Linked DNA regions of Sus scrofa. The protein of the gene in region 1 purifies or fractionates together with the protein of each later gene. This does not show direct contact. Links are inferred from orthologs where the notes say so. Each region holds a gene or a part of one and is shown on either strand. Other genes may lie near its edges.

What was found.
Region 2: the proteins of DCP1B (region 1) and BAG4 purify together in Homo sapiens (affinity purification with mass spectrometry; 3 studies listed by BioGRID and IntAct, counting the BioPlex papers as one, with this or other methods). This does not show direct contact. The link is inferred for Sus scrofa from reciprocal best matches to the Homo sapiens genes DCP1B and BAG4.

What each region holds. Positions count from the first base shown.
Region 1 is NC_010447.5:68,933,898-68,939,999, forward strand, and holds part of DCP1B (mRNA-decapping enzyme 1B), read right to left. Parts: intron 4,782-6,102; coding exon 4,715-4,781; intron 2,396-4,714; coding exon 2,242-2,395; intron 1-2,241. UniProt on the Homo sapiens protein: May play a role in the degradation of mRNAs, both in normal mRNA turnover and in nonsense-mediated mRNA decay. May remove the 7-methyl guanine cap structure from mRNA molecules, yielding a 5'-phosphorylated mRNA fragment and 7m-GDP.
Region 2 is NC_010457.5:48,302,648-48,308,749, forward strand, and holds part of BAG4 (BAG family molecular chaperone regulator 4), read right to left. Parts: intron 5,800-6,102; coding exon 5,545-5,799; intron 5,080-5,544; coding exon 4,825-5,079; intron 4,109-4,824; coding exon 3,623-4,108; 3' UTR 1-3,622. UniProt on the Homo sapiens protein: Inhibits the chaperone activity of HSP70/HSC70 by promoting substrate release. Prevents constitutive TNFRSF1A signaling. Negative regulator of PRKN translocation to damaged mitochondria.

The sequences.
Region 1 (6,102 bases):
TGCTGTGGCTGTAGTATAGGCCGGCAGCTATAGCTCTGATTCGACTCCTTGTCTGGGAACCTCCATATGCCCCAAGTGTGGCCCTAAAAAGACAAAAAAGACAAAAATAAAAAAGGAAAAACTTTAAGGAGTTCCAGTTGTGGCTCAACAGGTTAAGAACCTGACATAGTATCCATGAGGATGCGGATTCGATCCTTGACCTTGCTGACTGGGTTAAAGATCCGGTATTGCCACAAGCTGTGGTGTAGGCTGCAAATGTGGCTTGGATTCCACATGTCTGTGGCTATGGTGTAGGCTGGCAGCTGCAGCTCTGATTCAACCCCTGGCCTGGCAACTTCTATATGCTGCAGGTGTGGCTGGAAACAAAGATTAATATCTAACGGCACAACTACTAAAGTATAATTAAGTCACTGGGATATCTTTTTTCTTTTTTTTCTTTTCTTCCTTCCTTCCTTCCTTTCTTTCTTTCTTTCTTTCTTTCTTTCTTTCTTTCTTTCTTTCTTTCTTTCTTTCTTTCTTTCTTTCTTTCTTTTTTAATGGCCGCACCCACAGCATATGGAAGTCCTCAGGCTAGGGACTGAATCTGACTTGAGTTGCAGCTGCGACCTATGCCCCAGCTGCAGCGATGCCAGATCCTTAACCCACTGGGCCAGGCCAGGGATTGAACCAGCGCTGTCAGAGACAACACTGGATCTTAACCTGATGTGCCACAACAGGAACTCCATGGAATATCTTTTAATGGCTGCTGAAGAATTAAACAAACTAAAACATGGATCCAGAGCTCGTTGTTCCTGATGGAAGCTGGGGAGAAGGCATCCACATCGGGGCCCTGTGACAGGAGGAGGTGGTTTGTTCATGTTCATTCAACAGCCTTGGGTTGCTGCTGGCCATGTGCCAGTCTCTGAGGGTGACCGGGGCACAGAGGTGACATGGGAAGCTCCTGTCCCCCAGGAGCGCACCTCTAACCATCACGTCCGAGGCAGGTTGCAGAAGCCTGGTCAGCTGTCCTGACTGCTTCCTACCTGCCTGATCCCCTTGAGTCAGTGCTACAGACAGACTCAGTAGCAGCTCCTTTGCCTAGCACATCCTGAAGAGGTGCTGAGTACCTGACGTTACATGGTGGTGGGCAGCTCGGCACGTTCAGCAGGTGGTCAAGTTTCCATTAACCCTTCTCAGGGCACTAACATTATTGATCATCTTCGTCCGTGTCAATTACTTCACTGGGAGTTTAAGTTCTATCGTTCCATCCACATGTAAGAGCTGGAGGTCTTGGGCAGAAGGCCTTTCCCTCATCAACCGGTTAGGTAGTGCCACTGGCCAGGCAGGATAAATGCTTGCTTCTTTCCCACTGACCAGCAACTGTGAGAGGAAGAGGCTAATTCTCCTTCCTACTTCTGGTGTCCTAGTACCTCCAAGGAGAGCCAGTAAATATTTCATACAGGCTGTGTTCCTTTCTTGTTCATTTTACCCCAGAGCATTTACAATTTTTTTTTTTAATTAAAGTATAGGAGTTTCCATCGTGGCTCAACGGAAACAAATCTGACTAGCAGCCATGAGGACGCAGGTTTGATCCTCATGTGGATTAAGGATCCAGCGTTGCTGTGGCTGTGGTGTAGGCCAGCAGCTGTAGCTCCAACTCGACCCCCAGCCTGGGAAACTCCATATGCTACAGGTGCAGCCCTAATAAATAAATAAATAAATAAATAAGTAGAGTTGATTTACAATGTTCTGTCAATTTCTGCTGTACAGCAAAGTGACCCAGTCACACACACGTATACATTCTTTTTCTCATGCTATCTTCCACTATGTTCTATCACAAGTGACTGGATATAGTTCCCTGTGTTACACAGCAGGATTTCATTGCTTATCTATTCTAAATGTAATAGTTTGCATCTGCTAACCCCAACAAGAGCATTTTTGTTGGCATGCATTAGTTCCTGGGCCAGGGATCGAACTGGTGCCACATCAGTGACCTGAGCCACAGCAGTGACAACACTGGATCCTTAACCCACTGTGCCACTGGAGAACTCCCCCGAAGTATTTTCTATGAATTTGTTGATACCGTCAGTGAAGTCTTCCAACACATCTTCTGAATGGAGATTATTTGTATACATGAAGGCTACTGATTTCTCATGCTGCCTTTTAAGCCAATTAAAACCAGTCTTTAGCCTATTAAACGCCAGTAAAGACTTTATGGTGTGTAATTTTGTCTGGCTTGGTGCACAGGGGAGATGGACTCACCTTTGTGTACTCGTCCCTGGCCTTGGTGAGCATTCGTAGGATGTCCACCTCCCTGCTCTCCCCTGAACCGAGGGTCATCGTGGGGCCTCCTGCTCTGGCTGCTGCTCCTGCCCCAGTTCCGTGGTGGGCTTTCAACTGTTCATACTGAGTTAGGCTGTTAAAACACAGGGGAAAGCCACATAAGAAAAGCCAATTCAATTCAGTGCAACTGTTTTTTTAAACCATCCAATTCTCACCCAGTTATTATCTTGTTATAATCATGTTAGAAATAAGCCTGCTTAGGAAGTGAGAGAAGGAAAATGGGAGTTGAGTTTTGAGTACACTGACCACATGGATGAATCTGGAGGGGGTGGGGCCCAGCCCCTGTTTTCTATGGCAAGTTAACAAGGACACCTGTCTATGCATTGTCTGTAGGCAGGTGCCACATAGTCAGGGAAGGGCTGAGTGGCTGAGACAGAAACCTGGTGGCCTTGCAAAGCCAAAAACAGTCACTGTCCGGTCTTTTTCAGAAAAAGTTTGCCAGCTCCTCATGGAGGCATTTGAAAGGATGCAGTATTGCTGAGGAAACCCAATTCAGGGCTGTCAAACACCGAGCAAACTGCGTGGCAAAGCGAATTTTTGCCTCGGTCCAAAGTGCCTGGAAGTCAAAGCAGGGCTGATCCCAGATCCTCTGATCCCATGTCCCAGCCAGTTTAGAAACACAGTGAAGATTCCGCCCAGAAGAAGGGCACTGAAGCAGCAGCAAAGAGGAGCGTCTGCGTTTTCGGGAAAACAGCACAGAGGGGAGGCGGACTGCTCCTGCAGGGCACAGGCACACCGAGAGGGACTCACCCTCCCTCTGAGCTCCAACTGCAGCTGAACCTCCACTAAAACTGCCCTGAAGTCTATGGTGACAGGTGACAGTGATGGGGTCTGAGAATTTACTGAGAGGTTCAATGCTAACAAGAATAGGCTTGGAATCCACACAAACTGGAGGCTCATTGCTCAACGATCAATTTCCTGCCCCAGCTGTTGAGTAATCCCTGCAGATGCTGAGAATTTTTCCCCGCCCGGGCTGAGCCACAGGGTATTTTTTAATCTAGATGAAATCCTGCTATTATTACCCATTGCAGTTTACAATACCATGAATGTTCTAGGAACCGGTTGTTATGGTGGTAAATATTGGTTTGAACACACTTAATCACCAGCTGCAGCTTGAGCTAGTTACCTAAAATTAGCTATCACAAGCTAGGTTTTCCAGAAATCAATCTTATTTATAAAAAAGTGCTCACCACAGTCCATATTTTGGGGTCACTTTTTAGCTATTTCATTGATTCAGAATTTAAAACTGAAAAATGGCTCTTTTGCAGACGGAGCCACTCTGTGTTCAGACGAGTCCAGTTGGCACAGATACAACACAGGCAAGAAACACATTTCCTTCGAGGCACTAAACTGTCTGTGAGAATGCAGGGAAAGACCTGCCTCCCTATAAGCTGCCCTGGGGCTCAAGAACTGGTCAGAGCTGACAGACCCCACGGGAGACAGCATGCTGCCCTGGGCCTCCTTTCAGTGTCATCGGTGGGGCTGACAGTGGGACAGGCAGATGGGAATTTAAGTTTCCCCAAGTGCAGGCTGGGACTAATCACAAGGCATCATGTGATTAACAGAAAAAGAGACTAGTCACGAGAGAGAGACGTCTACTGATCCCTAAACTGGTATTAGCTCAGGGATTTCCAAAAAATTGAAAACACAGACTCTCCTCAGCACTAGCAGAGTCTGAGCCTCACAGGAGCAGGTAGAGGAGAGGCTCAGGGCTGCAGGAAACAGGGCAGCCATTTAGAACGGCTCTGGACACTCTCTTCACTGACGACACCTCAAAGGAAAAAACTGCTAATTTACAAATGAGGATAATATTAAGGAAAAACTGCCATCTGGGAAAAATTCATATAACATATTTCACATGTGCAGGAAAAAATGAGGTGAACCATTCTATAACTTTACTTAGTGGAAATATAAAATGTCATCCTTTTTATTGATTGACTGATTTATTGATTGTCTTTCTCTCTTTTTAGGGCCATACCCTCGGCATCTGGAGGTTCCCAGGCTAGGGGGTCCAGCTGGAGCTGTAGCTGCCAGCATACGCCACAGCCACAGCAACACAGGATCTGAGTGAGCCTCGTCTTCGACCTAGCCATGTCTGCTGACCTAGCTGCCAGCCACAGGTCACAGCAAAGCCGGAGCCTTAACCCAATGAGGGAGTCCAGGGATCGAACCTGTGTCCTCATGGATGCCAGTGAGGTTTGTTAATGGCTGAGCCACGATGGGAACTCCTATTTATTTTTTATTTATTAAGCAATAGTGACTGTTTTGCTAACCACTGTGAAAAGGACTGCTGTAAGAAGTGTATGCTGCTAAGATGACAGTGTGGTTAACACACTTAGAAATACAAACAAAAGCACCAGGTCCTGACAAATACTTAGCCTGCAGCACTTACTTTTTCATAAGCTCTGCAATTCTTTGGCATTCTTCCTTGTCATAAAACCAAATTCCATATATGGACACTGCAAAAAACACATCGAGCAAATTATGAGCATCTTCAAAACTACACGATGCAAAGAAACTTCCTTTCCATCTTGAAGGAAATACAAACTCACTGAATAAATGAAACCAGTCATTCGAGTTAAAGCTTGAACACCTCACACTGGGGCTTTTTAGGCCCACGGAGAAGTCTATAGAGGGTCTATGCACGCTTGTGTGTGCGCACACGCACGTGCCCGCATGTGAGCATATTCCACTTTCATTTTTTTTTTTCTTTTTAGGCGTTTCCTTTGGCATATGGAAGTTCCCAGCTGGGGGTCAAATTGGAGCTTGCAGCCGCTGGCCTACAGCTGGATTCAAGCCAAGCCGCGTCTGTGACCTATGCTGGTAACACCAGATCCTTACTCCACTGAGTGAGGCCAGGGATTGAACTTGCATTCTCACAGAGACAACATTGGGTCCTTAACCCACTGAGCCATACTGGGAACTCCTGTCTTTAAAGTTTTCGGAAACCTGATGTACAAAGTAGGCCTGGAAGCGGAGAGGAGCCCTCCTCTTTCTCCCAGAGGGGGTTAACTGAAAGACTGGCTTTGTAAGCCCTAAGCGAAGATAGGGAGCAGGAAAAACAAAATTCAATAAGAAACCTCTGACTTCAAAATGTCTGCACAGAATATTTACAACTGCTGAAAGATTAGATATGGTTATGGCTTAATGACTTCGTGATGAAAGAACAATGTGGTGTAATGTAGCTGCTATTGATACATGTAAGAATTTTCAAATAAATTATATACTTTAGCATGTGCCTATCCATGCCATTTTTACAGCAAAGGCTAAACAGTTCCAAAACACACTGATAAATATCCGGTTGTGGGTCTGGTGGTATTAATCATATAAATAATACATTAACTACAAACACATTTAAAATAACCTTCACTGAAAATAGCTGCACTGTTAACATGTGGTGATAAAAACCAACAAAATATATTTTTAAAAGGAAATTATTTTTTAAATGTAAACTTGCAAAATATTTAATTATGTGAATATTATTTGGTCATTAAAACAGCTGCAATATTTTGACAACTTTTTTCCCCTGCTCACCTAACCAATGGTTCAGTGTGGCATTTCTGCGTCTTGTCAGTAAAGATTCTGATATCAAAAGGTACAGGAAATGTCCTTTTAGTGCTGTTTTAAGCAGATGTCTTTATTTTTTTTTTTATTATTATTTTCCCACTGTACAGCAAGGGGGTCAGGTCATCCTTAGATGTATACATTGCAGTTACAGTTTTTTCCCCCACCCTTTCTTCTGTTGCGACATGACTATCTAGACATAGTTCTCAATGCTAT
Region 2 (6,102 bases), on another chromosome or scaffold:
GGCCACACCCAAGGGATATGGAAGTTCCCTGGCTAGGGGTTGAATTGGAGCAGGAGCTGCTGGCCTAAGCCACAGCGGCAGCTACAGCAATGCCAGGTCCAAGCCACATCTGTGATCTACACCACAGCTTGTGGCAGCGCCAGATCCTTAACTGACTGAGCCAGACATTGAACCCTCATCCTCATGGATACTAGTAGGTTCTTAAGCCGCTGAGTAACAACAGGAACTCCCAACCCTATTTTTAAAAGCATTTAAAAGAATTCTCCACCAACAATGTAGCAATCAGCATAGCCCATTCTGCTGATACTTCATTAGAACTTATTTGTCTCAGTATTTATATTGGCATTTATATTTGGAACAATATGGAACTATAAAGAAAACTTAGTTGTGTCTAACATGCCAGATCTAGATAATCGTATTTACAATTTTGACAAAAATTATCCCCAAAGTAATATAAATATAGACACTTTTTAAAAGTCCAGATGTGAAATATCAAAACATTTTATGGGAGCTTCCTGGTGGCCTAGCGAATTAAGGATCCAGCGTTATCACTGCTGTGGCACGGGTTTACTCCCTGGCCAGGAACATCTATGTGCCATGGGCATGGCCAAAATAATAAATAATAATAATAATAATAATAATTTTTTAATTCAGTCTGGAATCGATACTGTCAAAAACAACCAAATACACAAAAAAAAAAAAAAAAAGAATACTATTTTCCTTTTTAAGTTCACTATTTTTTTCTGGAACAGGCTGCCAATTTAGTTTTTCTTTCCTTGATATTAGCATCTGGAATCATTTTAACATGGTTTATACCTTTAAGTTCTAAGTTTGTACTTATCCTGAATGTCTTACTATAATTAAAAATATAAACCCAGAAGCAACAGCCCTTCCTCACAGAAGTCCAATGAATAAATGTAGAAGGAATGAGAGAAAGAGAAAGCCACCACAGGAACACCACAGTAGTAACTGACACCAGCAAGGTCTGCCAGTGGATAGAAAAATGAGTGGGTAAGTTTAAGCACAAATAGGACATTTGCATAGCTCGAATTATTTCTGGCAAACACTCAGTCATTACAAAGGAAAACACAGCAAGTTTACAACCAAGAGGCCTAGGAGACACCACCTTAGGTGGTATTAAGGTAAACAACACCAATAGTTCATTACCACATCAGGGGTCATGACACAACGTCACACTTTGAAGCCATGACAGTGGAATGCAAGACAGGGTCCTAGACTGGATCCCCAGACAGTGAAGGACCTTAGTGAAAAGATTACGAAAATCTCTACTTTCAAAACTCTCTAGTTAATAGCATTGTATCAAGGCAACTTTCTTAACTTGGCAAACGTTCTACAATTATGTAAGATGTTAATATAAGGGGATGGTGACTGAAGGGTATAAACGAACTGTTTTTACAACAGTTCAGGAGAGTGTTGTTTTTACAACACTTCAGGAGAGTTAAAATTCTCAAAATTTAAAACATAACTGTTAAAAATTTAAAACATACATATATATGAATATATGTGTCTAACATGTTATTTAGACTTCAAGGAAAATAACGTTAAGACTCCAGGGAAACTGGTATCTGGGGCACTCAGTTAAAGAGCAGTTTTCTCTCCTGAATTAGTCACTGTCTCACTGGTTGCTAACTTAGTTTTAAGGTTCTTCCCCTTCCAAATATTTAGTTTCAAGTACTTTTAAATTTTCATAGAAAAGCTTACTTTTAAACATTCCTCTATTAGGCCAAAATTTAAAATCCTAGAATAAAACTGTCACCACGGAGTTCCCATCGTGGTGCAGCGGGAACAAATCTGACTAGGAACCATGAAGCTGCAGGTTCGATCTATGGCCTCGATCAGTGGATTAAGGATCTGGCGTTGCCATGAGCTGACACAGCTTGGATCTGGTGTGGCTGTGGCTCTGGCGTAGGCCGGCAGCAACAGCTCCGATTAGACCCCTAGCCTGGGAACTTCCATATGCCACAGGAGTGGCCCTAAAAGGACAAAAAAAAAAAAAAAAAAAAAAAAGACAAAAAAACTGTCACCAAATTATCTCATAAAATCACTTCTACCAACCACATGACCCGACCATTTCTTCTCATCATATAATATGATTGTATTGGTGTTGTTTATAAGGAGAGGGAAGGGCTAATAGATTTATTTTATTAATAGGCCTGGCAGTGAAGAAAAAAAAATTATCAGTTGGCTATCTTATTAAGAAATAACAGTTTTTGCAATAATAGATATTGTGTACTGGAACCCACTTCAGATGTAAAAAGCAACTTACCTAAGTCACTTCTATGTGGTAGCATAGGGCTACCAAAGCAAACCCAGCTAAGATCTTTCATTATCCCTTCCTTAAATCTGACTCTAATGTGACTGTTATTAGCGGTGGTAAACATCTTTTAAAAAAAAAAAAAAAAAACAGGCAATACTGTCTATGCAATTTATTCCAAGGGAATAAAGATAAACATCAGGTCTACCTTTCAAAAGCTGAACATAATTTCTCACTCTAGCTATGGCTGCTGATTCATTCCCTGAGCATGAATCCTCTTTTACCCACATTGTTTCTTACTATAAACTGAGCTGAAATCTGCCCATAGGGGTCCTGATGGTGAAGTTAATATTCTAGATGGAGAAGAGCATTCCCAAACGGTTGTATTTATTACTTTTGCAATTATTATTTCTACTTGCTGTGGCATTTAATTTTTCATTTGTATTTAGCATGTTGCTCCATATGGAAACAGCTATAGTAAAAAGATGGGGGGTGGGGTGGAGTTTAAAGTGGATCTTCATCCAAATACCATTAAAAAAGCAAAAAGTAAAATGGCCACATTTTCATTTCTATACCCATGCCATTTTAACCAAATTAACCTTCCAAAAATAACATGAAAAGCAGAAGTGGTAAAACTCTAACCTAATGATCTATACAAAAAAGGAGACACTCTACCTCAGGAACTCACTACACATTGCAATATACTCAAGTGGTGAAAAGATAAAAATTCAACCAGAACTGCCATACTCTCTGGCTGTCAATACAGTCTCCTGAGTAATTATATTAAACATATTACTACAAAATGTACCAAGAAGTAGAGAATAGTACTATATTTGTGAACTGCAAGTAACAAAACAAAACAGAGGTCCAAGAAAGCTAAAGTCCAAGCTGTAATTTACACGTAAAGTGTATGTTGAAAGCCGTCACGATGTACAAAAATGTGACAAGTAATCCAGACGTTTAAAAAAAAAACAGAGCTTGTTTGTCTCAGATAGTATCCAGTCTTATCTGGTAGGTTTCTGATAAGCCTGTTACATAAAGTGTATTTCCCTCCTGCTGATAAGAAGCAGCTTGCAGATACCCATACATTTCTTAAGGGGTGAGTCTACTTGACAATATTGATAATGCCATAGTTTCCTATTACATTCATTGGTCTGAAAATTGAAAACAACCCATAATCCAACTTTTCTTCCAAGTCCTTTACCAGTTTTTCAAGTTTTATAGCGAACGAAATTGGAATGTATTGCTTCTTGTCATCAACAGGCATTTCAAAACGAGGGTAATTAACCAAAATCAAGAGTTCTTTGGTCAAGTTAGTAACAGGCTTCCCCTTTGTTCTAAATCCCTTCATAATCCTTTTTTTTCCAATTTTTCCAGTATGGCCTGGATTTTACAAACAGCCTCTTTCCTGGCCTGCCGGACAGTGTCCTGGCCCCCAGTTTCAACTGAATCCAGTTCCAAAAGTTCCTTGGTTAGCATTTCCTCCAGAAGCCAGTATGCTTTGTCTGTCTTTTTTCCTACGAACTCTTCTACTTCTTGCTCAAGATATTGGACCTTCTCCAGCACATGTATGATTTTTTTAATACTTGGGGGAGTCCCTTCATCTGAAGATAAACACTCGTCAGGAAGATTATTACTCGGATCTTGATTGCTGGGATGTTCATTGCTGGCATGACCATACAGCTGAGGCTCGGCACTGTACTGGACTTGGGAATCCAAAAGCTCTGAATCATCACTGTTCATTGTTCCCGAGGACTCGTACTGATGGACACTGCAAGGAAAGCTGTGCCGGCTCATGCCTTGATCTGATTGGCTATAGGGGTATGAGGAATCCTTGGAGCAGAAGAGCAAAGAGGGGAAAAAAGCTGTTTTAATGGGAATCTATCATATTTGTTAGCCCACATCTTTTATCTGACCAGCTAGGTAGATGAAAAGATTACCCACCAATAAAACTCTTAAGCCCTCCTTAATCATTTTGAGAAAAACACAGCCCTAAAAAGACAAGAGGCAGATAATTCCTGAGCATAAAGGCTAGAATCTATCCTCAGGCAGGTCATCATCATGAAGACCTCATAATCTATCCTTACTACCTCACAATCCGTCCAGTGACTTAATAAATAGGAAATAGATAGTTTTTTCCCCTAAAGTGAGAAACCCTTAAGACAAATCTTGAAAAGGAACCTAGCCACAGGCAAACGCTGTCTGAGTCTATGGCTTAATGAAACCATGCAATTTCATACTGGTTTTGCCTTCTGTCTGGAGACTGAGGTAATAAAATCCAGTCTTTGATTTTGTTTAACAGATAGCATTACAACACATAGTAAAGGAATGTCTTTTAAAAATAGATGTGAACCTAATACTCCTCTAAAAAATAAAGTCTTGAATAAAATTTTTTTAAAAAAGGAAACTGGGCTACGTAAAGCTATAGGGTAGTAGCCACCAACTTTTTGAAATTAGTCCTCATTTAACACAGACCAATGCAGACAAATTCCACGTTGTGCTCCTTGTTACCCAAACATCAGAAGACCAATGTTCAGAAGGTCTCCTACCTTGGGCTGCGGGGGTGGTGGTGAAGGAGGTGGCTGAGGAGAGCCACTGCTAGGCCATGACGAAGCACTTTCGCTCACATAGAGACTCCCAGGTGGTGCTGAGGGCGAGGCTGCAGGCCATGGGTAGCGGGTTCCCACTCCATAAGTGCCAGGAGGGGCCCATGCGTCCTCCTGTGGTCGCACGGTGGGTCCTGGTTGTGGAACACTACGGTTACCATCCCCATAAGGGTAGTGGGGCACGCTCATTCCAGGGTTCTGGATTGAGAGGAAGGAAATAGGCTGGTCACTGCTAAAAAGCACTTTAAAGAAAATGTTCTAGTGTAAATAGATTCTGAGATGCTTCTTCTCTGCTTAACGGAGTACATTTTTGCTGTTACTGGGCTAACCTGTAGCATCTCTAACTAGGTGCAATAATTTCTCCAAGCCTAAAAAGGCCAGGTTCCAAAGCTACCAGGGGCAGATCTGCTGATGATCAAACTCAGAAGGAATAGGACCTAAATTCAAGGTCTGCCCACAGATACTATAAATAAATGGATCCATGTGCTATAAGGAAGCACAAATACATATTAGAACTCTCCTTGAAGTGAACAGAGAAAAACATGGGATCATTCACAGAATATTAAAAAAAATATAAACCTCACCTCTTGAGGTAAACAGAGAAATAAACTTGGTACCATTCATTCATACTAACAAATAAAACCACCACAGAAACATGCTCACCTGTGAAGCAGGATATCCTGAAACCTGCCCCCTAAGAGGGGGTGCTTCAGTCTGACAGTCCTGCTGGGGATACATCCAACGGGACACTGGGGTTGGGCTGTTGCCAGGTGAACGGTAAGTGCTTGGAACCTCTGTGGAGTAACTGGTCTGAGCATACCCGGGTGTGTAATAAGCCCCGGAGTAGGAGGCAGGGTTTGTGCCAGGGCCAGTGGGGTATGGTGGGCCATATGCTCCATTTGTATAAGAATTCAAATTCTGTAAAAAGGCAATGTTGGGAGGAAAAAAAAAAAAAAAAAAAAAAGACGAATGAGTAGAAGAGCTAAATGCCCTCACTCTGAAAACTTTGAGAAAGGAAATCAGTAACCAATGAAAACATGAACTACCGAATTGATCTTTGAGGCATTCTTTTGTATTATAATCATATACATACATAAGTTCAGATTATTACTGAAGAGTCTGTGTCATAACAATGGGAGAGTATATGGTGATGAATTATGAACCAATGGCCTTAGAGCAGTGCTTCTCGACCATTTCCACAAGTGCACCTAACAACCATAT